Canis lupus familiaris: one gene and its partners. The protein of the gene in region 5 purifies or fractionates together with the protein of the main gene of each other region. This does not show direct contact. Links are inferred from orthologs where the notes say so. Each region holds a gene or a part of one and is shown on either strand. Other genes may lie near its edges.

Region 1 (5,712 bases), on a different chromosome or scaffold from region 5:
CCTTGGAAAACTGACCTGGCCTTGTTTGTCCTCAGGTTCCAGTTGGGGTGAGAGCAGCTCAGGGAGAATAACAAATTGGCTTGTTCTAAAGAACCTCACACCTCAGGTAAGCAAGCCGGTGTCCTGGCCAGTAGACGTGCGCCAGGCGCACCGCAGCAGGTCCCAGTGTTGCTGAGCTGAGGCCGAGTAGACTCCAGGCCGGGCAGAGGGAGGAGTGATGAGGATGGTCCTCGGAGGCCTCAGGCGGGCTGCGGTCCCACCCGTGTTTGTTTACCCTGTAGAACGTGCACCGAGCCAAGCGAAATAGATCCCCAGTCTGGCTCCAGAGCCTCTGATGGAGCAGATCCGGGCTAAGATCGGGGTCTGCACCCTCCTGAAGGCACTCAGATCATTGTGATGCAGGCGGTCCTGGTACTGCTCTTGAGAAACCCTGGTCTGCTCTTCTGGATGGGAACATCTCCTTAGGCCCCGGACCACCCCTCCTCTGGAGGCTGGATGTTAAGAGCCCGCCCCTCCTCTCCCAGGGAGCAGTGCCTTGATGAATCCTGTCCTCAGGGCAGGGAAGAGAGAAGACATGAAGCCACAGCAGGGGCATGGCTAACTAAGGAAGTGGGGATCTGGGGAATGTCCAGGAGTCTAGAGGCCACAGAGGTATGGCTCTGGGACCAGTGGAGGTGGGGAGGGGGGCACCGTACCCCATCCCGGCAGTGAGCCCCAGTGAAGAATGGCAGCAGGAGTGAAGAACCTCGGGCAGGAAAGAGAGGACGATGTCCCCTGATGGTCCTCGTGGCAGCTCATCTAACTGGCGGCCCCCTCATGCTCTGTTTCCTAGATTGACGGCTCAACTCTGCGTACTCTGTGCATGCAGCATGGCCCACTGATAACATTCCACCTGAACCTCCCACATGGAAATGCTTTGGTCCGTTACAGTTCAAAAGAAGAGGTAGTGAAGGCACAAAAGTCTCTGCACATGTAAGTTGGCCATCCGGTGTGTGACACCTGGAAAATGCCCTCCTGATGAGTAGAGTGTGGGGTTCCCTTGTGTATGGAAGGACAGCTGGTGGCACTGTGTGTCCTCTCCGGGCCAGCGCGTGGGGTCCCGCGGTGAAAGGGCATTGTAAGGCAGCGACCTCGCCTCTATCTTGGGTTCCAAGGTCAGTACTCCTAAGGTGAAGCATCGCCCCTCAAACCGGCCTTAGGAAATCTCTTAAATCACCTTTAAATCACCTATAGGAGGCAAAAGGCCTTAATCTAGCTGGATACCACCACCATACACGCGGGGCAGGTTTTGCTCCGGGCCCTGGAGAGCCCTGCAGTGGGCGTGTCACCACCACCCCACCCCCCACCATCCTCCTCGCCTTTTGAGCAGAAGCTGAGTGCTCCTCTCACTTCGAATCAGTGAGATCTTCCAGATCCCCTGAGTCTTCACCGCACCCCCCTGTGTCTCTTCCCTCCAGGTGTGTATTGGGGAACACTACTATTCTTGCTGAGTTTGCCAGTGAAGAGGAGATCAGCCGTTTCTTTGCACAAAGTCAGTCTCTGACCCCTTCTCCCGGCTGGCAGTCTCTCGGGTCCAGCCAGAGCCGGCTGGGCTCCCTCGACTGTTCCCACTCGTTCTCCAGCCGGACCGATCTCAATCACTGGAATGGTGCTGGGCTGTCGGGAACTAACTGTGGAGACCTTCACGGCACTTCACTCTGGGGGACCCCACATTATTCCACAAGCCTGTGGGGTCCTCCCAGCAGCAGCGACCCCCGGGGAATTAGCAGCCCATCCCCCATTAATGCTTTTCTTTCTGTTGACCACCTGGGTGGGGGTGGAGAGTCCATGTAACGTGTAGATGTAGACTCACGAACTGTGACCTCAAGAAGCGAAAGAAAGGAGCACTAAGTTGGGCTCGCCGCCTGCAGCCAGGGGCCACCTGTGGGAACAGCTCTTCTCTGCACATTTTCCACTTTGTTTTCCCTGAAACATATCAGTTTGAATACTTGAATCATGCAGGCCAATATTATAATGTGAAAAGGTATCTATCTATTTACACTCCCAAATAGCGCCATACATGCTAAACCGTATAGAATGAGCTCACTTGTGTATATTCATCATGTTTAGCCTTTGGGTTCTTTTTTTCACCACCACCCTCCCTTCCCTGTTTCCCTCCACATCCCTCCCTCCCTGTTTTCCTTCCTCTCTTTCTTCTTTCTTTCTTTCTCTCTCTCTCTTTTTTTTTTTTTTTTGCAAAACCATTTTTTTGGGCTGATAATGTATGAGCTTTTAACTTTGCACTGAATGATGTTCTCTCGTCTAATCGGCAATATGGGGGGGCAGCTGTTCCAGTGTAAATGTTTACTCAAGGATGTTCTTAAAGGTGTGCGCTCTCTACTATGCCTTGATGTTTGCCTACCTTACTGTGGTGTCGTGGAGTTTAAAAGACCGAGTTCTGATGCTGACTTAGGACTATAAATGAAAGTATTGCACCAGTGTTTTCATGTTATAAAACTAAAGAATTTCGCTCTGCAGTTTGAAAAACTGTGGCCACAGCTGTGACTTGCAGCCCCCCTGCCACCCAGGACGGGCCCTGCACTTTGAATAGGCTTTCCATTTTGTTTTGAAGGTTCCCACGGTGAACCTTCTTGTTTACAGATTTTTTTGTTTGTTTTTTGAGAAAAAAAAAAATGTTTACTCTTCCATCATTTAAAAAAAATTTAAAAGACAAAAAAAAAAAAAAAAAAAACAATGGAGGATGATTTACAAGATGCTTTCTATCTCTGGGAAAAAGGAGCAGCATTTGGCCATGTTCTTTTGTTTTCTATTCCTGTCCTAAATCCAAGAGCATGGTTCTCAGGAAAACCAGTTCCCCAGTTAGGAAAAAAAATTTAAAAAATAAAAAAATAAAAAAAATAACTCCTTGTAGTTTCTTATAGGAAAAACAAAACCCCAACTTTTAGCACTGATACTACATATTGCTCTGTTAAAGAATTTTCTCTGCCAAAAAACAAAACAAAACAAAAAAAAAAACAAAAAAAAAAACAAAAAAAAACAAAAACAAAAAATCGCTTAAAGCTGGAGTTGACATTCTGCTTTCAGATGCTGTCTTTTTATTAGTGAGTGATGATGGTTTGCTAATAATAGGTGATAATTTTTTGTAACCCCATCAAGTGGCTCTCTCTGTTTCTGCTCTCTTGTGACTGTGTTAATGTTGAACTGTTGTACCTTAAAGCCGAAATCAGTAACTATGCATACTGTAGCCAAGGTATTGGGCTTACAGAATTGTTCATTGTATAAAGAAAATTTTAAATGTTGTTGCAAACTAACGAGTTACACCATTTTTAAACTTACTTTCTCCTCGCCCCCTTTTTTTGCCCACAAATGGTATTATAATGCTTGCTTAGTCAAAGAAGACGGGCCAAACAAGGGTAAACATTTTAACAGCGCAGAATTTGCCATCATTTCATTGCCTTGATCTAACTGTTTGTGTCCTAAGATGCAAAAGAAGTCAGTGGCTTTTAACTGTTTACAAATAGAATGTGATTGTAAAATGTACAGTTTGGTTGTGTTTGAATTATGAAATCCCTTCCGATATAATAAACCATGACTTTTTGGCTGCTCAACATTAATTGTCTCTTTTTTGTGAATTTCTTTGTACGCTCTTTTTTACAATGAACGTTTCAACGTTGCTGTATATGAGGGTCCTCATAGAGCAACCGAGTACAAATCTAAGCAAATATTTGAACATTCTATCCGAACTTCTCCACAATTTCACCCTGAAATAATGTGAGAACAATGGGAAACTGTAGCTTGCTCCTTCCTACCCTCTCTGAGCATCTTTGGGATCTTGTTGCTCAAAGCTCTCCTGTGACTTCATCTCCCCCACCATTTGTGCCCATCTCAAGCCTCAGCAAGAGACCATTTGGAACATGAAGCTTAATGACTTGCCAGTGTTCTAGTGTTAAACTCTCATACCTCTGTTACAAATGAGAAATGCCACAACCTGGACTGGCCTTCCTCCCCCCTTCACGGCCCTCTCCTGACCGCGGGAGCTCTGGGGCAAAACCTGTGTGTGTATTCCAGTGTATGACTTCAAATCATGCTCCGGCTTGCCAGGTGTGAGCTAATGTCGGACACCTTCCTACAAGCAAATGTTGTTCAATGCATTCAATGTATATTGACTTCCATACTGGTTTTTCCAAAAACCAAAGGTAGCTTTGAAAAACCACGTTTGGAAATGTTTGGAACGTTAAGCTGATTGACCTTTTGGGGCTTTGAGTAGTATATAATTGAATTCATAACTGCGTTAATTGTATTGTTAAAAGTGTTTGGGAGTTTTTTGCGCTTGTTATGTGGAAATAAAGTGTTTGATTTAAAAAATTTAACAAGTGGTTTTGGTTTTTGCCTAGTCCTTAAATCATTACAACTCTTCCCCAAGCGACGTGTCACTCAGTCTATCATAACCTCTCAGCTACTCGGGCCCCAGGTCCAGGCCCTAGTTCTGATCTTGACCTGCGCCTGGCCAAATGGCCTCGAGTCACTGGCGGCCTGCAGGGGGCGGTCTAAGCACTTTAACACATCAGGTTATGCATTATTCCCGAGGATGGCTCACAGTGGAGTGTGGCTCCTGCGTCCCTGGACGAGTGCTTGGGCTGTGTGCGGGGCTTGGGGCATCCGGAGCTGCCCTGCATCGCTACCTGGCTTGGCTTACACCCCTGCTCGCTGTCCCTGCAAGAGCAGGCACCTCCACCCCCACCCACCCACACCATTCCCGCTTGCAACAGCAGATTTGTCATCCCCCCTCCAGTCGGTATGTTGAGGCACTGGGCCAGGCCACCGCTGGTGACTGAGCTCTTGCTCACCTGGAGAAGCCATGTGCTCAGACACCTAGTAGGTGCTGAATAAATACTGAAAGGAAGGGCGCTTGGGTGGCTCAATCAGTTAAGTGTCTACCTTTGGCTCAGGTCATACCAAGGGTCCTGGGATCGAGATCCACCTTGGGGTCCCTGCTTAGCGGAGAACCTGCTCTTGTTCTCCCTCTGCTCTTCCCATCCCCCTTCATTTATTCTCGCTCTCTAATAAATAAAATACTGGAAGGAATAACAACACCCTGTTGACATTTGAGAACCAAAAATTCTGGTAGTGCCACTTCTTGAACTGGGTGCACCTGGGGGAATCGAAGTTCTTGACAGGTGAGGGGTCAAATCCAAGTCAAAGGGCATGGAGAGAATAGCGTGAAGACCAAGAATTAGGATGAAGCAGATGTTTGGATCAACAACAAATGAAGGTCGCACTAAGCAAATTAGCCCACTGTTGGGTTAAACGGCCATTCCAAGCATTGGAGCATTGGTCTTCCCCCTTCTCCAGAGCTTAGATCATTTCCGGCAGAGCCTTTGATTTCAGATGCAGGCAGTGGGGTCACCGAGCCAGAGCCAGAATCACAACCCCAGTGAGCTTTGGGGGTCCCATCCAGACACCCAGCCTCTGGACCTGGCAGGACTTCCTCTGAGCAGGCATGTACAAGGTCGTGGGGAAGGAGGAATGATGGAGGAATGATGGTGATGGTAAGTCCAGGGTCCTGCACATACCGGGTGCTTCGAGCTCATTTTCTCCTTTGACCTTCAGAGCCCCCAGCCTGGCCCTAGAACAGGAGACCGTCCTAGCACAGTGGCTCTCAGATTGCCCACCAACACACCCCTAAAGGTGTTTTGTTTTGTTTTTTTAAGA
Region 2 (5,081 bases), on a different chromosome or scaffold from region 5:
TTTCAAGCATAATACATAAAACATAGCACCAAACAGGAGGGAAATGCATGCAAAAGAAAAGAAGAACTGAGGTATTTAAGTGAAGAGTGCCTACAAGTCTAATTAAAGAAACTTCGGCAAATGCCTAAAAATGTCTTTTTTTTCTTTTCCAAAGATGGAAATCATGAGCTTGTTTTCCTAAATTAATGACCTAAATCACAGATGTATCAAAATTACGGCAGTTTATCGCAAACGTTACACTCCCATGGCATTAACAGCACAGCTTTGGTAGGTGAAGAATGCACACGACACTGGGACAAGTATAGTAAGACATTTAAGTGAGAAGACTAAGGGTAAAGGTGCTCTGTTTTGCTTCTTTAAATAAGTAACCAGTCAATTATAAAATCTGCAGCATATTTTAGGTGTGATATGTCTAGAGTTTATCTTGTTAGAGCAACAGCCTCCAGGGCAAAACTGTTTGCCACAAACAATTTCCATCAGTGGAACTACCTAGCAGGAGGTTTTTAGTAAAATCAGGTATTTAACCAGAGATTATTTTTATTATGGTGCTTAAAAAAACCCATAGACTACATATATAATATTCTGGTTTTCAAAATGCCTTCAGGACACGTATGACAGAAACTCTAATATAATCCTGTAATAAGTTAAGTCACAACTACACTAGTGAGTTGCAAACATCACGCTGTCTCAACATCTCAATGCATAATAAAATGAAGGGAATGTAAAACAGTTTGTTCCAAAAAGATCAGAAATTAAAGAACGTCCATGAGGGTTTCACTTTTAAGGCAAGAACCTTTTGTATGTAGGACTATGTGGCATGAGAAAACGAAAATTTGATTCACCAACATGCCAGCCAATGTTCATTAAAAACCTGTCCCTAAAAAAAAAACAAAAAACAAAAACAACAAACAAAAAAAACCCACCTGTCCCTTACTATATTAAGTGCAATGACGACCGGGAGACAACATCTTACATGACAGAATGTAGAAAGAAAAGACAGCACAGGCATTTTCTCCCCCGGCCAACCGCACCATTCTCCTGGGCGCACCCGCCAAGGCCAGACAGGTGCCAGCGCCCACGAAGAAGAGGGGAGGGCGCTCGCAGAACCTAGGGGCTGTCTCAGCTGTAAGCTCCTTGGCCTCCTGGCGCTATGCAAAGCTGACGGAAATTAAACTAAAAAAACAAAACCCCAAAACAAAAAATAACTGTCAATCATTATTTGAACACTTGCTAAATGTCATCATTAAAGCACTCTTGTGATTTTAAACAAAGCAGAAGTGAGGAAAGAAGACAAGATTGTGTTTGCGCAAAAAACTAAAACTACAATTAGTTCCAAAATTTTTATACATATGTTAAATGTTTTATTCTGTAATCTATCTCGTTATCAAACAAACTTTAAATTTTGCCTTCGATTCATTCCGCTCACTGTGGACTTTAAATCATCCTTCTCAATTTAAATAGTTTTCCCCCTTAATTCTGCTTTATGTTTTTTTGTTTTGTTTTGTTTTGTTTTAAAAAGGGGTTTCAGCTGTTGGGAACCTGAGGTTGATTGGCTTTGAGGCTGCGTAGGGCTCTTCTTGCTGCTGCAGACTTGGCGATCCTGTAGCTCCGGCCGACGCCTTTAAATTTCCCCTTCCCTACCACTTCCACCGTGACTCTGACCTTGCCGTCATACGTCCTCTCAGCCGGGCTGTAAAAAAAGCCAAACAGCTGGAATCAGAAGTCAGAACTATTTATTATTATTGTCAATCAGCACTGGGCACGCGCTCTGAGGTGGAGGGCCCGGGTATGAGCTGACGGCACACAAAGGAAACGTGCATTACACGGTGGCGCGGACGCCAGCAGACCGGGCTGAGTTTTCCTCTTTAACCCAGCATTACTTTATAAAAGCGAAAGGAAAAGTCAATCAGACTATAAACGGAGAGTACATAGTGCATGCCCCAGTATAAATACTTCTCCGTATCATTAGTTGATGGCATCTTTGACAACTCTTCCAACTCTTGTTTTTAAGTAACTTAATTTTTTCCATGCACAGTTTTGCTTACCTAAATTTGGCAGTTTCTGGTTCCATTTCAAGCAATTCTCGCACAGGGGAACGGGGCACGTTTGCAGAAAATTTTTCTGTAATCAAAATGAAAGAGCAATGTGAATAATATCCTTATAGTTGTTTTTAATTATGATTTTGTTTCTTTCAAAGGGAGCACACAGTACCTATCAGCGGCCGCATCATAGGATAGTACACCTGCCAAACCATCTCCAGTGACATCCCACTATCCATGTAAATGGCACCAGCAAGCGACTCAAAAATGTCCCCCATGGCCTTTGGAACTTCAATGTCCTCTTCTTTCTCTTCATCCTCCTCAGACCTCCTAAGCTATTTACACAGAGAAAAGTGATTTGTAAGGAACAAGGCCATCTTAAAAGGCATTCCACAGCAGTATGTATCTTTTCTTGGATAGGACTTTTATTATACCTTTAACAAGGGTAACAATACCAACCATTTATAGCAACCACCTAGTACATTGTAGTAAGTTCTTTGCAAACATCTTATCTAGAAAAAAATTTTTTTTCCAACTTCTCAAGGGATAAAAAAACTCTTCCCAATTTAGTATGATTCTATTCTCAGTGAAGGGAAAAAAGAGTACTTCTAAATGAAAACAGAAACAACACAAAATTAGAAATAGTTAATAAATGTATTAAGCAAAGTTCAAATTCACTCGTAATCAAAGAACTGTATCTTTAAACAGTTCTACCCCCTAGCGGCTCCGCAGGCATTAGGCTGAATACTAACTAGTACAGCAGTGACAAGGGTGTACAAACTGCTTCGGCAAGTATAAACTGTCACTTTATGACTGAGAAATTCTACTAGAAGATAGATTCCACTGAGTTCCCTTTTTATTAAACCCCTTAATACGCATTCACTATTAAGAGAGGACTGATACACAGTATTCAAATTAATGTAATAAAAAACTTAGGTATGTTATCAAATGTCTTTTTAAAATTTCCTAACTCGTTGATGCAGTAATCCCATCCCTAGGAATTTATCTTAAGGAAGTATTGGATATAGTCACCACACCCATGTTTACTAAAAACCCGAAATAAAAAGAACTTAAATATCTAGCCACAAAGGACTGTTTAAATATGTTTCATTATAGCCATAAACTGACTAGTGAGCAGCCACTGAAAGTCATAATGCCAATGGATACACGGAAAATGGTCCTCAAAATATGAAGTGAAAAGAACAGGTTATGTATACTATGCATAATATAATTCCATCTTATGTTTTAGGTATGCTTATGTTTATATACATTAGCAAAAAAAAAAATCACAGAATGTTCATTTGGTTATTTCTAAGGTAGTATATTTGCATAACTTTAGTATTTCTTTTTGCTTATTTGTATTTTCTAAAATACTATTTACTTGTGAAAGAAAGAAAAAAGAAAGAGAAGGGGGCACTTGTTTTTTGTTTTTTTTGTTTTTTTTAATTTCTAAATGGATTGTTTAGCCACACAGAACTCTATATAAACCACTTATAATGCTGGCAGCTGAGAAAAAAAGACATTGGTCATACATCACAGTTTTGAGGTAGAAAGGAATTTTAAAACTTATCGAATTTAATTCTCTCCTTTCATGGATGAAGAAACTGAGGCCCAGAGAAGTGGAGAGACTTGCTTAAGATCCGACAGTAAGTTAGAAAAGCCAGACCACTGACATTTCCAATCAGTTTTTGTAACTTCTAATACCTATGTTTACACAAAGGAAAAGAATGAACAAAAATGAACAGAGTCACCATGTCCCACTGCCATCAAAAGAGAACTTAAAACTAATTTTAGCTAATTCCTCAAATTCTTAGCTTAAACATTTCTAAAGAATGAGACGAGAAATAATCCTAAGTACACGAGATGGTTCTCATTCCTAGTCCCACTGGTAGCTGTGCTCCACCTCGGACCATTAACCTTGGAGGAGTACACACGGGGCAGAGTGGGTTCTCCCTCAGCACAGGTTCTGCATTGTTTACAGGGTAGGACACTTCGCCTTGAGGCTATACTTCAAATCTCTCTCACAGCAAGTCAAGGAAATGCACTAGTCTCCAGCCACAGTTTGGTGTGATCATAAAAAGGGAAGGTATAAAAGTAACCAGAGCAATTAAAACAGCCACTAGAATTATGAATAAATTCCGACTCCTAGTAAGAAATCTCCAAAAGTAAGGAAAACAAAGGGATCGGAATGGGGAGAAGCGGACCTGGGAGTGCTCTCCTGGGTACACAGGTATGCAGACGGATGGCAGCGAAGCATCAGAGGAGAGTGGAAAGATCTAAGTGAAATTCTTGCTACAACACTTCCAAATAGCTCACAAACACATTAAAATTAGCTCCATCACCAAAGAACCTTTGGCTGAACTTACAACAGAAGCCTCTCAAATTCCAATGGTTAAGATTTTAGAAGGTGGGTTTTTAAAAGAGATTTTCCTATTTTCAAGTCGAAGCAGACCATACATTTGTGAGGCTTACCTGAGACAGTACCAGCGAATGTTTTCTGCCCCATTTTAACAGAAAGAAAGGCAGAACAAACAGCAAGGAGCCCTCACCAAGGTTCCAGCACCGCTGGGGGCAGGGGCAGGGGCAGGGGGAGGCTGAGCTGCTTTGGCTGCCGATCAGGTGGCGGGAGCAGAAGAGAACCGAGCTGACGGCCCCTGGTCCCTCCTCTGCCCTGGAAGGGCACATGCACCATCGCACCATCCCACCATCCTGGGGCAGTCAGGTTTAGACCCAGAGAGGGCAGCCATCCCTCGGTGGTCCCTCCCCCATCCCGAAGGCCGGAGCCCCCTGGGGCAGGTGACCCCCCTGGGCCAGCTCCTGCCAGCAGAGCAGTGACCATGCACTCCAGCAGCACTAACCTCGGAGTCCATGCCCTGCATCTCATTCTTCTCCAGCTGGAACTGCACGAAGTCATCAATGACATGGAAGAGCTCAGGGGAGACAGCTTTGAAGTACTTGTGGTAGTCGTACTTGACCGCCAGCGACGCGAAGATGGTGTTGTTGACCAGTGCGGACCGCAGGTCGGTCAGGACGCCCGGGGAG
Region 3 (5,825 bases), on a different chromosome or scaffold from region 5:
GCTGGAGGTGGGCGGCAGTGCTTGGCCTTGGGCTAAGAAACGATTCACCTCTTCTTCGCTGGCAAACTCGGCCAAGATGGTAGTGTTTCCCAGAACACACCTAAAAGAGCAGGATGGCAACAAAATTGAGAGCTGTTTTTTTTTTTTTTTTGAAAGATAAATTTGATGGCGCTTCAGTTTGACTAAGAAAAAAAAAAACCAGAGAAGACTCAAATAAGTAAGATCAGAACTGAAAGAGGAGACATGACAGCTGATACCACAGAAACACAGCATCCGGAGAGACTCCTAGGAACAATTCTATACCAACAAATTGGACAACCTAGAAGAAATGGACAAATCCCTAGAAACAGATAACTACCAAGACCAAACCATGAAGAAAGAGAAAATCTAAACAGATGAATAATGATTAAGGAGACTGAATCACTGACCAAAAACCTACCAGCACAGAAAAGCCCTGGACCACAGAGTTTCACTGGTGAATTCTACCAAACATTTAAAAGAGAATTAACATCAATCCTTCTTGAACTCTTTCAAAACACTGAAGAGGAAGGAACACTCCCAAACACATTTTATGAGGCCTATGTTATCCTGATACCAAAGCTAGATCAGGACACAAGACAACTTACAGATCAATATCCCTGATGAACACAGATGTAAACATTCTCAACAAACTATTAGCAAAGTGAATTTAACAGCACATATAAAGGGTTACACATTCACGATGATGTGGTATCTAACTATTCCTGAGATACAGGATGGTTCAACATATGCAAATCACTAAGTATGACACAACACACCAATGGGGTGAAAGACTCAAGTCCTGTTGTCTCATTAGATGTAGAAATAGCATTTGACAAAACACAATGACCTTTCATGATAAAGACCCTCCACAAGTGGGGGACAGAAGAAACAGGCCTCTGTGCCACAAAGGCCATCCGTATATGACACACACAAGCTAACATCATACTCAATTGGTGAGAGGCTAAAGGCATTTTCTCTAAGGTCAGGAACAAGACAAGGATGCCTGCTTTTGTCACCTCCATTCCACACAGTCCTGGAAATCTGAGCCAGAGGGATCAGGCATGACAAATAAATGAAAGGCATCCAAATCAGAAAGGAAGAAGTAAAATTGTCACTATCTGCAGAAGACATGATCTTATATAGAGAAAATCCTAAAGACTCAACCAAAAACACTGTTAGAGGTAAGCAATGAATTCAGTAAAGTTGCAGCATATGAAATGGACATACGTAAAACAGCTACGTTTCTATGTACTAACAATGAAATAACTGAAAAATAAAGAAAAAAAATCTCATTCATGACAGCATCAAAAAACAAAAAAATACTTAGGGATATTTAAAAAAAAATACTTAGGGATAAATTTGACCAAACAATGAAACCTGAAAGACTTTAATGAAAAATTGAAGAAGGGGCACCTGGGTGGCTTAGCAGTTGAGCAACTGCCTTTGGCTCAGGTCGTGATCCCAGGGTCCCGGGATTGAGTGCCCATGGGCTCCCTGCATGGAGCCTGCTTCTCCCTTTGCCCGTGTCTCTCATGAATAAATAAATAAAATCTTTATAAAAAAATTGAAGAAGATACAAATGGAAGGCTATCCAGACAACTCAAAGCCATCTGTAGGTTCCATGCAATCTTTATAAAAATTCTAATGGGTTCTTTATAGAAATGGGTAGGGAACCATAAAAGACTCCAAATAGCCCTGGCAATTCTGAGAAAGAACAAAGCAGGAGGCATCAAACTTGCTGATTTCAAACTGTAATACAAAGCTATAGTATTCAAAACAGTATGGTACTGGCAAAAGAACCCCAGACACATAGACCAGTGGAGCAGAATAGAGCCCAGAAATAGATCCCCATGTAGACACTGATTTATATTTGACAAAGGAAGCAAGAGCACTCAGTGGAGGACAGTTCCTTTAACAAATCTGCCAGAAAACCTGGAGAAACGTGTGCAGACTAATGACAAGTGGACGCCTGTCTCACACCACTCAGAAAAGTTACCTCGACATGGGTTAAAGACCTAAATGTAAGATCTGGAACCATAAAACTCCTGGAAGAAAATAGGGAAAAAGCTCCTTGACATTGATTGGTCTTGGCAATGCTTTTTTGATAAGACACTAAAAGCCTGCCTGTCTGGCTCAGCTGGAAGAGCATGGGACTCTTTTTTTTTTTTTTTTAAGATTTTATTTATTTATTTGAGAGAGACAGAGAGAGGGAGCATTAGCAGCAGGGAGAAGAAGGGCAGAGGGAGCAGGAGAAGCAGACTCCCCGCTGAGCAGGGAGCCTGATGTGTGGCTCCATCCCAGGACCCCGGGATCATGATCTGAGGGCAGATGCTTAGCTGACTGAGCCACCCAGATGCCCCTAGTGTGTGACTCTTGATCTTGCAGTTGTGAGTGGAGTCCCATGCTGTGCATAGAGATTACTTGAATAAATAAAAATTAAAAAATAAATAAAAGCACAAGTAACAAAAGAAGAAAAATCAACAAGTAGGACTACATCAAACTAAAGCTCTTCTACACAGCAAAGGAAACTGTCAATATAATGAAAAGACAACCTACGGAATGAAAAAATATTCACAAACCATTTATTTGGTGTGGTTAATATCTAAAATATATAGAGAATCATGTAGCTCAATAACAACGAAAAAAGCCCAAACAACTTGATTAAAAGATGAGCAGAAGAACTGGACATTTTTCCAAAGAAGACATACAAACAGCCAACAGGTATATGAAAAGATACTCAACACTGCTGATCATCAGGGAAATACAAATCAAAACCCAACGAGATAATCACTTCACACTTGTTAGAATGGCTAGACTCAAACAGACAAATATAACAAGTGTTGGTGAGGATGTGCAGAAAAGAGGACCCTTGTGCACTGGTGGTGGGAATAAGGAATTAGTTCAGCTACTCCTGAAGTTCCTCAGAGAATTAAAAATGGAACCACCGTGTGATTCAGCAATCCCACTGCTTCAGTGCTGTCGCTGAGTACATCCACTCACACATCTTACCAAGGGCATCCTGTAATCAGTGGGGGGAGGTGGCTGGAAGATGGGTCACATGCCTGGTGCTACCTGGTGGAGAGAGCGTCTTCCTTCTGTCACTGCACTCAATGTGCATGCTTTTGGGGACCTCTCCCTAGTGGGGGGCGTGGCCGCGACAACTCCACAGCAGAAGAGAGATGCGTCATGAGATACCTGCTGCGGCATGGATCATGACCCCCGAGTCCCCACATGGGAGCTCTAGCCCCCAGCACTTCAGCTGTGCCTATATTTGGAGGTAGCTCTTTACACAGGTAATGGAAAGAAAAGATGCTCATCAGGGTGGACCCTGACCCACTATGATGTGTGTCTTTCTAAGAAGGGGGAGTTAGGACACACACACATCAAAGAGGCAACCATGTGAGGACACAGGAAGAGGGCAGCTGTCTGCAGGCCCAGGAGAGGAGCCCTAGAAGGAACTGCCCCTGCTGACACCCTCCAGAATTGAGAGGCAATGTCTGTTGCCTGTGGTGCTTTCTCACAGCAGCCCCTGGAGCACACATGACACCAGAACTTAGTGCTGCCAGGACATGCTAGGCCATGGGGCAGCCGAGTAGCGGCCAAGAGACGTACATGTGCAGGGACTTCTGGGCCTTGGCGGCCTCCTCCTTGGAGCTGTAGCGGACCACGGCGTTGCCTTGAGTCAGGTTCAGGTGGAATGTGACGAGAGGCCCGTGCTGCAAACACAGTGTCCGCAGGGTAGAGCCATCGATCTGATTGAGGAAGCAAAGGGGGCGGTAACGAGCTTCCTGGGACTTCTTCCACGACATTCTTAAAGAAAACGTATATGACCCTGGTGTACTAAACACTGGGAAATTGTCCGTCTTTCAAACGGCTTAGTGTGGAGGACTTTATGATTTTAACCATTTATGCCTTGTCATTTACCATGTACTTTTTAATACTGGATGTTTCAGTTATATTTCGTGAATTCCAAAAATGAGGAGAAAGTAAAGACCCCATTTTGGTTGTGGCCTCCCCACCCAGCCAGCTGGGATACATCACACAGAGCCCCTGGTTCCTGGCAGCCCCACAGCCCCAGACCCCGGGAAAGGGGAGTGCAGGACAAATGAGTCTTCAGTGGGTATAATTAAAGGCAAGTGACTCTGTCTAAAAGGTAGACTCTTTAAGCCTCAAAAGAGTAAAACGTAAACAATCTGCCAGGAACACAGGCCTGTCTGCCTGTGGCTGCCCACACCACCTTTGGGACCCCGTGAGGGCCCCCTGCACGGAGGCCAGCATGCATGGGGGGCAGTGGGAACCTGCCTGCTTGGTGACCCCCTCGGCAGGTGCCTGTACCTGGGGCGTGAGGTTGCGGAGAACGAGCCAGCTGCTTGTCCGTCCTGAGGTGTCGGTGCTCCATGCGGAACCTGCATGAGCCAAGGGAGAGCCTGGTCAGCACGGCCACCAGAGGCTTCTTGCTAACATGTACGGTAGCACAGACCCAGACTGCCACTGCTAGCTCTAAGTCTTTCTCAACCTTTGAAAACCCATGTTATCTTTTTGGTTTGGTGAACCCAAAACCACAATTCCTGCTGAGGTGAGCCCCTGGGGGTCCCGTCTCCTCCTCTGCCCCCACGCCCCTTAGAATCAATGCTCTGAATGCTGGGTGCTAATACAGCAGACCCACAGGACTATTACAGGCGACGGCAATTTTCAAATTATTTGCAACTGGTTTCAAACTCAGCTTAAGTTCCCAGCACATGTCTTCCACGCCTGCAGCTTGGGGGAGGGTGCTGATGGAGGCCAGCAGAACGGCAGCCCTGGGATGCAGTAGCCAGTTCACACTGGAGGCCTGGTTTTGTTCCTGGCCTGGAAAGCCCCTTGCTCCAGTGAAATGTTGTGGAGAAGTAAATACCAAAGTGGCAATTGAGCCCTTTGTGCTGGCTGAATGTACCTCCTCCAAGGGCTCAGCGTGGCCCCTGGAGGGGTGCTGTGACTGCCAGGACCGCTTGCCTCAGGACACACTGGAGCCCAGGATGGAGGTGAAAACCATGGCAGCTGGAGCGCTGCGCAGATGGCTGCCCTGACAGTGCAGAGTGCCTTGGCCTGTCCTAGGCCCTCCTGGGTTCTAGGGGTGGGGACAGCCGTCCTTACAGAGCAGCAAGAGGACAAGATAACAGGCATACTCATCCCTAAAGGGCAAACCGAGCAGGCCCCGAGCCCCCGTGCCCCTCCAACCTGCCCCATTTGCGTACCCGAGGAGTAGGAGCTGGTCCAGCCGAGGGGGCTGGCTCCCCAGGTGGAGGAAGGCTTGGGATTGCTTAGCCCTGGAGGCGGCCTTGTGGGTGCAGTAGTGTTTCTGGGCACCTTCCACAGTTCATGAGATAGAGAGGCTTGCGTGTGGGAGGCAGGGCCAGAGGACCACGTCGATTTCATGTCTGACAGTTTACCTAGAAAGGCAGAGATGCAGAAGAAGACAGAGAAGAAAAGCCCCCTCAGACTCTGGGAAACGTACAAAGTGCTCTCTGGCACCAGTGGACAATACCAAGTAATACGTGCCCGCATGAGAACCATGGGGTATGTGTCCTCTTGAATCCCGGCCCAGAGACTGTGGCTGTGCCCTGTGTCCAGAGGAAGCCTCGCCAGGACTTCTGATACGAATTTGCTAAGTGTGCCAGAATCAAGTTTGCCACGGAAAACAGCATTTCTGTAGTTTGAGGTTAAAGTTAACTTATTGACATATTCTACTGGGACAAGCATTTTATAATGGAACAAATTAATCAAGATCAAAGCCTAACATGTAGATCTTTTAAGCTATTTCTTTA
Region 4 (5,825 bases), on a different chromosome or scaffold from region 5:
AATGGCAAATCCGTTGCTAAGTTAGATGACGTAAGGTACCTATGTAGCCTCCTTAACATTTTCCTAAGCCAGTTTATTAGTTAACTTCTTAAATGTGAAATTAGGACCAAAAATGAGAAGACGAAAGAAACAAATTTAAAATAAAATCCATGTTGAGAAAATATGAAGAGAGATGGGTTCTACGGGCTGAGAGATCTAAAGCCTATACTTAGTATCATTCTGTGCATTCAGTAATCAACAAATTTCCCAAGACAGACAAATGATGCAATGAACTGCAGACCAGGGCCAAGGCAAGGCCACAGTCAAGCAGTTATAAATTTGAGAGGCCTCCTTACTTGTCTAGCAGCGAAGTTTTGGGGGTTGAGCCCTGTGCCGATTGCTCCAAGGCTGACGTTGGGTAGTGTGGAACCAGAGGGAGACAGCTTGTAGCTGGGAGAAGGGGAGAAGGGAGAGCAGGGAGCCTCATCCCCAAGGCACCCATCTTGATTGGAGAAAGGCAAAGTCAGCTGAAAAGTAGTAGGAGTTAGCCAATCACAATGAGTGTTGGTTAGTGAAGCAACAGAATGCAAGAAGGGACAAGAGAGAAACACTAGGAACAAACAGAGTTAGAGTGTATTAGCAATAAACGAGGATGGAATTTGGATCTGATCAGAGTCATCACACTTGGCCCAACAGACACCATCTGTCACCTCTGATATGGATTTTTTCTTATCCTCTAAGTAACACATTCTGTCCATTGCACTAAGATAAAAATTGCCAGACTCTGAATTTTTATGCATCTAATATTGATTACTCTATGTGGCTGCTGAAACAAAAGCCAGAGTAATCTTATGAATCTGTTGCTGCCTGAAACAGCATTATCAATAACGTCAAAAATTTGCCAGATCAAAAACTTTTTTTTTTTTTTTTTTTTTTTTTTTTTAGATTTTATTTATTTATTCATGGGAGACACAGGCAGAGGGAGAAGCAGGCTCCATGCAGAGAGCCTGACGTAGGACTCAATCCTGGGACTCCAAGATCACGCCCTGGGCTGAAGGCGGAGCTAAACCGCTGAGCCACCCAGGCTGCCCAAACTTTTGGTTTTTATTGCTTTCTGAAGACCAGGGCCATGACAAATCAGTATTCTGAATCAAGGAATTATTTCCTCCAATTGGAAAGACAAGAATCAAAAACAAATAGGTATTCATGACTTCTTTAAATCAGGTTGAGAATTTGAACAGTATACCATTATAACTCACAATAGGTCACTAGAGAAATGGAGAAAGAACAAAGGAACTCTCTTAGAAATATCAAAAGAGAACGTTCTGGAACATCTTAACAAAGCTAGAAGGGAAGGCCTTAGGAGATACGAATTATCTGCACGATATCCCAAATTTAATTTCTCACTGTACAGCAGAATAAATTGGTCTCTAAAATTTCTTCCACACATTTCGCATTCCCACTATAAAAAGTCAGACCATTTATTTCCCCCTTCCAAACTTCATAAAATTTCTAAAAACTCAGACCTTCTTCATAATACTCACATACTACAGACAGATGGTTCTAGCTTCTGCCTAGTCACCTGTTGACATCAACTGTTTTCATGTCAACACTTAAATGCAGGTGATGTTTATGTTTTGCTCATTAATTAATTCAGTGACTCTGTGCTTCCTCCTGGAATCAATTATCAAAAGAACAAATGGGAACCAAAGTGGTTCGCATGAATTATCTTAAAGGATTTGACTCACCTTCTCGAAATAAGGCCCACTATCTGTGGTTCCCATGTCTTTGGAATTAGGTGGACGGAACCCAGATCGATCCTTCCTCATGATATCATTAAAATCCCCGAGATTCATTGCTCGCTTGTCCACGTCAAATTTTTTATCTGGAAGGCTCCCTGAAAAGTAACACAGAAGTGAAAATTTCAAGAACAAATATCTCCCTCATGATGGGGGTGGGGGGGGTACCGGTCCCATTCTTCTCCCTGAGGTGCTGGGCATAAGACCATGAGGGATCCTCTTGGTTCAGGCCCCCAGGGGCACGTGTGGATCCTTTTGTTCCTTCTTAAAAAACTTGTGTCAGTTGTAGCTTGTTTTCAATGGAAGATTGAAAGAGAGATTTAGGGCCAACCTGGTAAAAATCTGACTAAAAAAATAGTTCCACTGGTTATTGACATGTTTGATGACTATAACTCACTCATAAAATCAAATGCACTTCGTGAGAGAGTTTGTCTCCTGCTGTTGTTTTAGCATCTGCTAGATAAATGGGTGGGGTTGTGACACAGTTATTGAGAATAAAAAGGCCTAAGAGGCATAGCTGTTGCCCTAGAATTTAAAACTTAGAGTTGGGCACATTAAGTGAACAAGAGATTTCCCAAGTACCATGACTACTACTCCTTTTCTTCACAGCTCTGGAAATTTGCTATTATATACTGACATGATCAGTGCCCCTGGAAACTCATTTTTTCGTCACTCTTAGATTTTAAAATATCATAGATCAGACTATCTCCCTTATGACCTAGGACTATTTTCCTTTTTCCTTGGTTTGATTCTTTTTAAGTTCCTCAAGGTGAGCAATAGCATCATGGTGACGATCCCACAGACTAGGGGCTAACATGGCAACTGCTCCACTTAGGGTGGGAGAACTCATCAATAATGAAACATTCCAGTGCAGACAGGACTACCAACCTGAGAACAGAGTCTGGCAGGGCCACAGACATACTTTGGCCACACACTAGTTTTTAAAATCTGAATTAGTTTCCAATATTTAAGAATCAGGATGTCAATTTATGTCTGAATTTCTGGCCTCGCTCGCCAACTGGAAGCTCTGACAAAGCTGAACCCTTACTCTCCATGGCAACAACTGTTAAGGCCAGAGCAAGGCTGATTCCTTTATCCTGGAGATGGTACATATTCCCCCGACAGCTAACCAGTGGCCTTCAACTCCCAATTTCTTATACCTGGTACATGACACTCATTTTGTTACTTTCCTGGATCCCGCAACTATTTGAGTTTTCAATCCCTAGTGTCCAGGATGGTCCTTTATGTCTGCTGAATGGCACCCATCCCAACTCAAGCTGAGCAGGGATCCAATATAACATCATTTTTTTTTTCAATATAACATCATTAATCACAATATACCCATTCATATTAGTAGAGTGATACACACCTACAGACAAATCCATTTTGCTGCCTGGATTATCTTCAGTTTGACTCTGAAAAAGAAGCAACAGGGAGGGAGGATTAAAGGTTTGAATTTGCAACATCTGTATGAGAGAGATAAAAAAATGGCATTATTTACGTGAGAGTTGTGGCGTACTATTGGTACTCTACATGGTCCTTTGACATAAACCTTATACTGGAATGAAGACAAGATCACTGATGATGTGACTAATTTTATTGCCTACGGTGTCCATATTCCCACATTCAATTTTCACATAGAATTAGCTTCAGTAACTCTATGGACAGAGCAATAGCTAAATAGCTGCTTAGAGAAATAAGTTCCAGTCGGCTCAGGATCAAATTCCACGAGTGTCAGCCAAATGATGACAACCTCTTCTCGTGACTTGTCCAGTCATCAAATCTGGAAATGTGCAGCCAAGTCAAGCTATCTGTCTTTTGGCAACTAGGGATGGGGTGTCCCACAATGTTCCCGAGAGATTTAAAGAGAGAGAGAGAGAGACAGAGAGAGAGAGAGAAATCCTACAAGAATTCCCTATATAATTAATTACAAATAGTTCCCCTACTTATTTTATTGTTGCTGCTATTTTCAAAACTGTAATATGAAAACTGGTACAGTATTAGTCAGGGAACGTTACGTAAGTTTTAAGGCCTGGCTCTTTCTGCCCCTAACCACTTAAGGAAAAGGACACAAGGACTACAAATTCAAAAGCCATAGCCTTTAAATATTGGAGTATTTCATTAAGAATAAAAGAATAGAGGACAAATACTGCTAAATCCAAATCAGAAACACTGTTTAACCAGTTTCTAAATCTGTAATGTTGTACTCTAGTGGCAGCGGTCTTCACATTTGTACTAAAAGTAAAAGCTGGGCTGTATTACACATAAAAGAAAATGAAACTTACCAGCAATCCCATATTTGAAAACTGTTTGGCAAGAGGATTCATCCATGAATCATTGTTTCCTCCTTTCAGTGAGCACTACAGAAATGAAATACATAACCTCAGAACCAAATTATTTTATCTCACTTCTTATCAGTTAGATTTATGTACTGATTGAAAATGCAGAACCAACAGTTTACCTTTCTGAGCCCAAATTTCCCTCTTTAACTGTGGTTATTTTGATATTTTATCCATTAGTCTGAAAGAGTAATAAGCTTTAGTTCTATCTATATTTTCATTCTTATTTGATTCGTCACACTGAGTTAGAACTGGAAAAATACATGGTTAGCTGGTGTTTTGTTTTATTTTGTTTTAAGATTTTATTTATTAATTTGAGAGAGAGAGCGAGAGAGCGCGCACACGCACAAGTAGGGGAGAGAGAGGGGGAGAAGCAGACTCCTTGCTGAGCAGGGAGCACTACACGAGGCTCAATCCCACGATCCCAAGATCATGACCTGAACCAAAGGCAGATGCTTAACCAACTGAGCCAGCCAGGAGCCCCTGAGTTTTTGTTTCTTAAGGGACAAACTAGTTTCTCCCCAGAATAGGACATCCAACACCAGCTCCACTTTTACTTCTATGGAGAAGGTAGGTGGAACAATGATGAGGAGTTGGTGGGGATGGGGTGATGGGGCTTTGCTTACTTGTACATTCTACAAATAAAAACTGTTTTGATATTTGTTATGTTGATTTTACTATTCTTCAAAGTGAATAAGTTCACTTAAGTTCAGTCACAGGTTTTAAGGTCAAAAAAGCCCTCACTGTAGGGAGGGTAGAATTGGTAGTTTTTGTTTAATACAAACAGTTTCAGTTTTGCAGATGAAAAGTTTTGTGGCTAGATGTGGCGATGGTTGCACAATAGCGTGAATATAATCACCACTACTGAACTGCCTGTGCACTTAAAAATGGTTACAATGGTAAATTTTACATTATCTGTCTTTGATCACAATCAGTTAAAAAAAAAAGGCCCTTGGACACAAAAGGTCAGAATTGTCAGTTGTGGAGCAGAAATGCCAAATTTCAACTGAGCTGAATCAGTTATGTCTCAGGGCCACCTGAGTGGGCCAGCACCTTTCCTTCACTCACTTCTGTCAATCAGCAGTATTCCTCAACTGTCTTTTTTTCTGTCTTGTTGGGAATTTGTAAATGACAAAAAAAGCCACAACAAGCCAGATAACAGGCGAGTACAAAGATACTGAGAATTTTACGGATTAATTCCATCTGTGACTAGGGGGAGGCAAAGCAATCCTTAGAAGGGAAATTGTAACTAGCTGCTTAAACAGGATGCCTCCAAGATAAACAACCTATGTGTTTAGGCTATCAAGTTACCGTATGCAGAACAACATTAATATCCTACAGCAAAGGGGATAAAGGCATAACCCCCTTAGCTGACTGAAGACCTTCCAGGACAGTACTTGGTATTTGAAACCAGGACAATATTCACTGTGAAGTGTTTCATGGGGCAGCAAGGCTCCCATGTTGAAATTAAATATATGACTGCCTATTTCTAATTTTCATCAATTTCTCTGCAGAAGGGAAAGAATGCCTCTGCTGGGAGAACGGTTCAGGTTCAAAGACTTGTTCTAGACTGAAACCAAAGTCCTCATCAAATTATGCAAATCAAAGGAGAAACGGCGTTGCTCTAAGACATGGAAAATGACAACTTAATTCCTTTTTTTTTTTTTAATTAAGTAGGCTCCATACCCAGCGTGGATCCCAACATGGG
Region 5 (6,609 bases):
TAAGTCTTTGTTTAGAAGAACAAAATTGTTTCTTGCCTCCTTTTCAATTTTCCCTCAGGGAAAAAAATTTCCAGCGCTGTAAGAGAAATTAAATTCTAAAACAAAAATCAAAATAATCTTGCATATTTTTAAGTCCCACTGCTAGTCAAGAGCAGCAAATATCAGGAAAAAAAGTCATGATGGCCACTCAAGAACAGCACAAGTTAAAATTTAAGTGGCAACCAAGTAGAAAAACCTTTTGCGTGTTCAAAATTCATGCCCTGTAGACAGAGAAGCATTTTGACAATTTTTTCTTCAAGACAAAAATCCACAAGTGAGAAAACTTATATTCCAAAGTGATTTAAAAAAGATTAAGCACTAAAATACTAAAAGATTAAATACTTTATTCATCTCATTCAAACTTAATTTCATATATGCAACTTCTGTTTCTTTGAAACTTGTTCTCAAATGATTTTTTTTCTAGTTTTTTAATTCTATTATTTTTTTCTAGTTTTTTTATTCTATGATTTTATTTTCTATTCTATTATTTTCTAGTTTTTTTTTATTCTCCATGCATGGAGCCTAACATGAAGTTTGAACTCAGGACCCTGAGACCGCGACCTGAGCTAAGACTCAGATGTTTGATGGACTGAGCCAACCAGGCAACCCTAGATTTTTAGTATTTAAAAAAATCCAGAGCCTTGAAATCACTTTGCAGATCCCAACATGAATTTAAGAGTATCACTAAGAAACATGGTCTATTTACTCCTGCAACACTGTATAAGACTGCGACCAAAGGTTATCAAACCACTTTGCACATCATTAATTTCAAGTAAAAGCAAATGTTTTTCTTCCTTGGCAGGTAAGTACAATTCCTTCTCCCTTAAACAGTAGTCTAACTACACCTAAAAATACCTATAGAATAGGTCCTAAAACCCTGCTACAAAGGAGAAGTGATATCCTAATGAATGTTTCTGCAGCTTCCATTCACACTTTATTTGGAATTAAAACAAATACTTTTAGTCCAATTGTAACTAAACTATAAAAAAAAACAACCAGAATTTCATTAGAAGTTTTCCTAACTAGGGGATCCCTGGGTGGCGCAGCGGTTTGGCGCCTGCCTTTGGCCCAGGGCGCGATCCTGGAGACCCGGGATCGAGTCCCATGTCGGGCTCCCGGTGCATGGAGCCTGCTTCTCCCTCTGCCTCTCTCTTTCTCTCTCTCTCTCTGTGACTATCATAAATAAATAAAAATTAAAAAAAAAAAAAAAGAAGTTTTCCTAACTAAAGAGTCACAGGCACAGATGAAAAACTATTGTTATATTTAAAAACCAATTGTGCTAGCTTTTCTGGTTAAAGTTTACGCAGTTCTTTTTTTTTTTTTTTTTTAAGATTTTATTTATTTATTAGAGACAGAGAGAGAGGCAGAGACACAGGCAGAGGGAGAAGCAGGCTCCATGCAAGGAGCCTGACATGGGACTCGATCTTGGATCTCCAGGATCACACCCTGGGCTGAAGGCGGCTCTAAACCACTAAGCCACCAGGGCTGCCCAGTTCACCCAGTTCTAAATCAGTACAATGAACAGGACACCCTAAAAAATCACTTAAAATATTACATGCAAAAATGGACAAATATTCATTTTTAGTAATGATTCACCCAGAAACAATTAACATAGCATTTGTATCCAAAGTCCAAGTCCCCCCATGTAAATAAATGTAAGTTTCCTATTTATCTTCCTAAGAACTAGTATTTAAAATAGCCTGTCATAAGGTAATACCTAAGACTTTCCACACACAAACCAAAACCTTAGAACCAAATTGGAGCAAAGATCCAACATTTACTCAATAGACTATCAAAACATTTATGTCTAAGAAGATGTTTTTAAGAAATCTCTGCACCCAAAGTGGGGTTCAAACTCAGAACTGAGTTCAAAAGTCACAGGCTCTACCAATGAGCCAACCAGGCACCCCCATGTCTAAAATATTTTAAACCTAAATATGGACCTATTTTTTTTATGTTTTATTTTTAAGTAATCTCCACATCCAACATGGGGCTCCAACTCACAACCCTGAAATCAAAAGCCTCACGCTCCAAAGACTGAACCAGGCAGGCACCCCCCCTCTTTACCTCTCAAACTCTTGATTTAAAACTTAGTTGTGTATTTTACCCAACTATGCTTTCAGTTACACGTGCAGCATTAACAATTACACATAAGACCCAGGAAGAATGGAAACTTTGTTTTTGATGATGACAATTCTGAGCCATATTATACTTTATCTCCATTATTAGATTAATCATGTATGAACTGCATTGAAGAGCAAACTTTGAGTTTCAAGAGGTCTAAGCATACGGTCGATATTATCTAATTCTACCTCCCCAGATGTGAAGATAGTTAAATGTGTATATATTTCAGCAATGGCACATGCAAAAAGAAGACGTAAGACTTATCTATAGCTCAAGAACTCACTGGAGTGTTTACTGAATCACACTTGGCTAGTTGGACCAGTTGGCCAGGCGACTGGACTTCAGAAATATTTTTGAGGATGTTGTCCATACATTGGGCCATAATTTCATACAAAAAACCCAAAGGTGAAAAACACTTAAAAATTTTTTTGAACTATCTTTAAAAGTCTTAGGGTAATTAATAAAGTGTTTAATTTTCATGTTTTGCTTTCCAGGCCTGATAACAGGACAGTTATGTAAAAGTCACCTATAGCCCTAGATCATCCTATTCACTCAAAAGTATGGTACACAACTAAAAGACAAAGGCAGGGCACAGTTTCAGAAATATACAAATCAATGATAAACAAATGAAAATCTAAAACTTCACAAGCTCGGGGATCCCTGGGTGGCTCAGCAGTTTAGCACCTGCCTTTGGACCAGGGCGTGATCCTGGAGTCCCAGGATCGAGTCCCCCATCGGGCTCCCTGCGTGGAGCCTGCATCTCCCTCTGCCCGTGTCTCTGCCTCTCTCTGTGTCTCATGAATAAATAAATAAAATCTTAAAAAAAAAAAAGTAACTTTAAGAAAAAAATTAATAAAACTTCACAATCTATAAAGTATCCCTTTTAAAGAAAATATGAAGATGACAGAAAAAAGAATGCAAAAGAGAAACAGAAGAAACTGATTAGAAAAAATTTCATGTAAACCTTGCAATAATCTCCTCGCCCCATTCCCGCCCCCCCTCCCCGCTACAAATTGAGCGCTGTTTGCATCTAATGACAATTACACTTCTTTTTTTTTTTTTTTTTTGACAATTACACTTCTTAACTTAATCAACGAAACCCCTCATTATCTTTAGGTCACCGATCTCCTTTATCACTTAACTTTTTCTTATATTCAAATACCTCCCAGACTAGCAAAACGACACGTGAAATTCAGGAACTTGAGATCTCCATCAGCAACGAGACAGCCCGTCCCCACCTCAATATTCCAAAAATCAACTTATGTGTTACCGTCTGGATGAAGCGTACTTCCAAATCTACCACGTTATAAGTATGATTTTTTGGGAAGCAGGTCATTATGTAACAGCTACTTTGTGTCTCCTAGTTACTTTAGAATCGTAAAAAAAGTGCTTGCTTATTTATTTATTTATTTATTTATTTATTTATTTATTTATTTATTTATTTTCCCCCAAGGCAAGTACTGCCCATGTTGCAGATTTTCTCAAAAACTGCCGTTTTCCCAAGAGGAGAGAGAGCAGGTTGTTTTAATTTCCAGAACTCCCGGAATAGGAGAGTCTTCTCCGGGGACCAGGGAAGGCGGAGGGAGTCCGAGCAGCAGCTCGCGGATCCACGTCGCCGCGGGAGCGGGATGCGGGCCCGGGGGCCGGAGGCGGCTGCCGGAAGGAGCTGCGGCCGGGCCGTGACCTCGCCCTCGGCCGGGTCCGCCCCGGGCTCCCGCTGCCCCGCGGCTCCGCGGGACGCGCACCCCGCACGCCGGCCGCCCGAGCAGCGAAGGCGACGCCGAAGCCCGCCTGCTCGCGGGAGGACCCCGAAGCACGACGCTGCCAGCGGCGCCCCCCGCCGTCCCGCCCTCCGCGCAGCTTCGCGTCCTCCGGGCCCGGGACCCGCGGCGGGGCTGCGCGGGGACGGAGGGGGCGGGGAGGGGGACGACCGCGCGCTCCGGGGCTCCGGGGCTCCTCCCGCCCCGCCCGCCCGGCAGCCGCGGCTCGCTCACCTGCGGAGCCGATTTCCATTCATGGAGCTGGGGGGGTGCTTCGGCCGAGAAGGGCGCCCGCCGCTGGGGGCGCGGAGGCAGCGCAGGGGCGACGCGGACGCCGGGCCTGCCGGCGGGCGGCGATGAGCGCTCCTCGGGGACGGCCGCCGCGGGGAGGCAGCGCGCGACCCGGCGGGCGGAGGGCGAAGCGGGAGGCGGCCGGGACAGCCCCGTGGGAAGGCGCGCCGCCCGCCGCCGCGTCCGCTCCCGCGGCCCCTCCACGACTGCGGCGCCGCCGCCGACCTCGCCGGGGGCCGCCCCCGGAAGCCCGCTGCCGTCACTTCCGCCGCCCCCGCCGCGCCCTCCGCCCCGAGCCGTGCGGCTGCGACGTCGCTGCGGGCCGCGGGGAGGGGCGGGGGCGGGGCCGGGGCCGGGCCTGGGCGGGGCGTGCCGGCCGGAGACGACCCTGGGGAGCCGCAGTCGGCGCTACCCCGCGCCGGGCGGAGCCTTCCCGAGGCAGTGGCGCTTACCTGGGCGGGAGCCTACCTGCAGCGCGGCCGCTCGGGAGCGCCGGGCCCGGGCCTGCCGCCGGCTGAGGCACAGCGCACCCCCCCGCCCCGCCCCAGCAACCCCCGCCCCGGCGGAGCACCCCCCCCCCGCGCCCCGCCCCGGCCGAGCCCCCCCCTGCCCCGCCCCCTCCGAAAGCGGTCAAGCGACCACTATAGGATCACTCCCAAGTCCGGGGGCGACGACCCTGGCGGTGGGGAGGGCCGTACAACTTAGCACGGGAAAGGAGTATTAAGGAACAAGACTTTAAAAAAAAAAAAAAAAAAAAAAGGAACAAGACTTTAAGGATCCCTGGGTGGCGCAGCGGTTTGGCGCCTGCCTTTGGCCCAGGGCGCGATCCTGGAGACCCGGGATCGAACCCCACGTCGGGCTCCCGGTGCATGGAGCCTGCTTCTCCCTCTCTCTCTCTCTCTCTCTGTGACTATCATAAATTTAAAAAAAAATTAAAAAAAAAAAAAAGGAACAAGATAAACACCACATCGGATAATGTCCTCGTTTAAAACGCTTTAATAGCGTCCCGGCACGCCGAGATCGACTCTTGCGGGGCCAAAGCGCGCCGCGCGCGCCGACCCTTCCTTCCAAGCGAGACCACTAGGCTGCAGCTACGCCGTCCGCTCCCCGTCCCCGCTGTGGGCAAGCCTCTTCCTTTCCCACGTGGCGCCCCTCGGCTCGGTTCCCTAGGCCAGGAACAGAGCCTCTCCTTTCCCTCCCCCCTCAGCTTCCCTTCTTCCCTTCCGTGCCCCAGAACCTTCTTATACCGCAGCCTTATTTCAGAGAGGTCTTTTCTTGATCACTAATGGGGGGAGGGGGCGTTCTTCTATTACAGCATTTCCCTAAGAATCCTCCCAACCTGTAGTTTTACTTTAGTTTGTGTGCCCCCTACCCCCTACCCCGCACAGGCTTCTAAGCACTAGCTTACCGCGGCCAGCACACTCACTAGGAACAGTAGGTCCTTAATATGTTGCCTTAATGAAAGGTGATGCTATTCAGATTAGAGATTCGTGATTTTTGCCTGGGTCCCTAAACATCAGTAATGTAATTTAGACCTTTAAAAATCAAAATGCTTTTTGTTTTTTTAAAGTTTGGGACAAAGAGAAAAAAGGAGAAGTATCTTCAGTCCCCCCCAGTCACGGAGGGACTTTGGGTCAGTTGCTTGAGCCTCTGGGTTTGTTTTCTTATCTGAGAAATGGAGAGAATAACGTACCTTACATAACTGCTGTGAGGTTAGGGAACGTACACAAACCAGAGCAAAGCCTAACTAAAAGTTAGTGAAGAGAAAGTTTGCTATCGATAACATTTTAAAGCACTTATTAGATGCACCTACTTTACAGTAAATGTTTCCTAAATGGATGGGATTCAAACCCTCTTCTGTCTTGACTTCAATTCCGCCTTCTTCCTACCCTTAACCGTTTTTTTTTGTTTTAATTTTTATTTATTTATGATAGTCACAGAGAGAGAGAGGAGGCAGAGACACAGGCAGAGGGAGAAGCAGGCTCCATGCACCGGGAGCCTGATGTGGGATTCGATCCCGGGTCTCCAGGATCACGCCCTGGGCCAAAGGCAGGTGCCAAACCGCTGTGCCACCCAGGGATCCCTCTTAACCGTTTTTACAGAATACATGGAGTTCAAAGTATCAAATTGTTACCAGATGAAACACTGTATCCTAAAAGTTACTTTCAATGCCTGACTATCCAGAATCCAAATCAGTAGCAGCATCCAACAGGGTAAATACCAACACTTGTGCAAGGGTCTATCACACCCTCAACCTCCCATTCTGGAACTGATTCCCTAAGTGACTGCACGCTTGTCATCTCCCAGAATATAAACATGGTGATGAACCGCTGAGGAAGGTCACTGTCTTGTTGACCTTGATGGAGGAGGACTTGGATCTCCTAATTCAGTTTAA

The links.
Region 1: the proteins of AGO3 (region 5) and TNRC6A purify together in Homo sapiens (affinity purification with mass spectrometry; 7 studies listed by BioGRID and IntAct, with this or other methods). This does not show direct contact. The link is inferred for Canis lupus familiaris from reciprocal best matches to the Homo sapiens genes AGO3 and TNRC6A.
Region 2: the proteins of AGO3 (region 5) and DICER1 purify together in Homo sapiens (affinity purification with mass spectrometry; 3 studies listed by BioGRID and IntAct, with this or other methods). This does not show direct contact. The link is inferred for Canis lupus familiaris from reciprocal best matches to the Homo sapiens genes AGO3 and DICER1.
Region 3: the proteins of AGO3 (region 5) and TNRC6C purify together in Homo sapiens (affinity purification with mass spectrometry; 3 studies listed by BioGRID and IntAct, with this or other methods). This does not show direct contact. The link is inferred for Canis lupus familiaris from reciprocal best matches to the Homo sapiens genes AGO3 and TNRC6C.
Region 4: the proteins of AGO3 (region 5) and TNRC6B purify together in Homo sapiens (affinity purification with mass spectrometry; 6 studies listed by BioGRID and IntAct, with this or other methods). This does not show direct contact. The link is inferred for Canis lupus familiaris from reciprocal best matches to the Homo sapiens genes AGO3 and TNRC6B.

What each region holds. Positions count from the first base shown.
Region 1 is NC_049227.1:21,486,241-21,491,952, reverse strand, and holds the end of TNRC6A (trinucleotide repeat-containing gene 6A protein), read left to right. Parts: intron 1-35; coding exon 36-106; intron 107-281; coding exon of another isoform or gene 282-335; exon of another isoform or gene 336-518; intron 519-524; exon of another isoform or gene 525-651; intron 652-832; coding exon 833-972; intron 973-1,457; coding exon 1,458-1,833; 3' UTR 1,834-4,365; downstream 4,366-5,712.
Region 2 is NC_049229.1:64,298,372-64,303,452, forward strand, and holds the end of DICER1 (endoribonuclease Dicer), read right to left. Parts: coding exon 4,898-5,081; intron 2,375-4,897; coding exon 2,212-2,374; intron 2,122-2,211; coding exon 2,046-2,121; intron 1,691-2,045; coding exon 1,525-1,690; downstream 1-1,524. UniProt on the Homo sapiens protein: Double-stranded RNA (dsRNA) endoribonuclease playing a central role in short dsRNA-mediated post-transcriptional gene silencing.
Region 3 is NC_049230.1:3,927,469-3,933,293, forward strand, and holds part of TNRC6C (trinucleotide repeat-containing gene 6C protein), read right to left. Parts: intron 5,451-5,825; coding exon 5,256-5,450; intron 4,428-5,255; coding exon 4,357-4,427; intron 3,774-4,356; coding exon 3,634-3,773; intron 101-3,633; coding exon 1-100. UniProt on the Homo sapiens protein: Plays a role in RNA-mediated gene silencing by micro-RNAs (miRNAs). Required for miRNA-dependent translational repression of complementary mRNAs by argonaute family proteins.
Region 4 is NC_049231.1:25,844,524-25,850,348, forward strand, and holds part of TNRC6B (trinucleotide repeat-containing gene 6B protein), read right to left. Parts: intron 4,139-5,825; coding exon 4,064-4,138; intron 3,194-4,063; coding exon 3,148-3,193; intron 1,877-3,147; coding exon 1,728-1,876; intron 507-1,727; coding exon 336-506; intron 1-335.
Region 5 is NC_049236.1:6,320,943-6,327,551, forward strand, and holds the start of AGO3 (protein argonaute-3), read right to left. Parts: upstream 4,291-6,609; 5' UTR 4,177-4,290; coding exon 4,158-4,176; intron 1-4,157.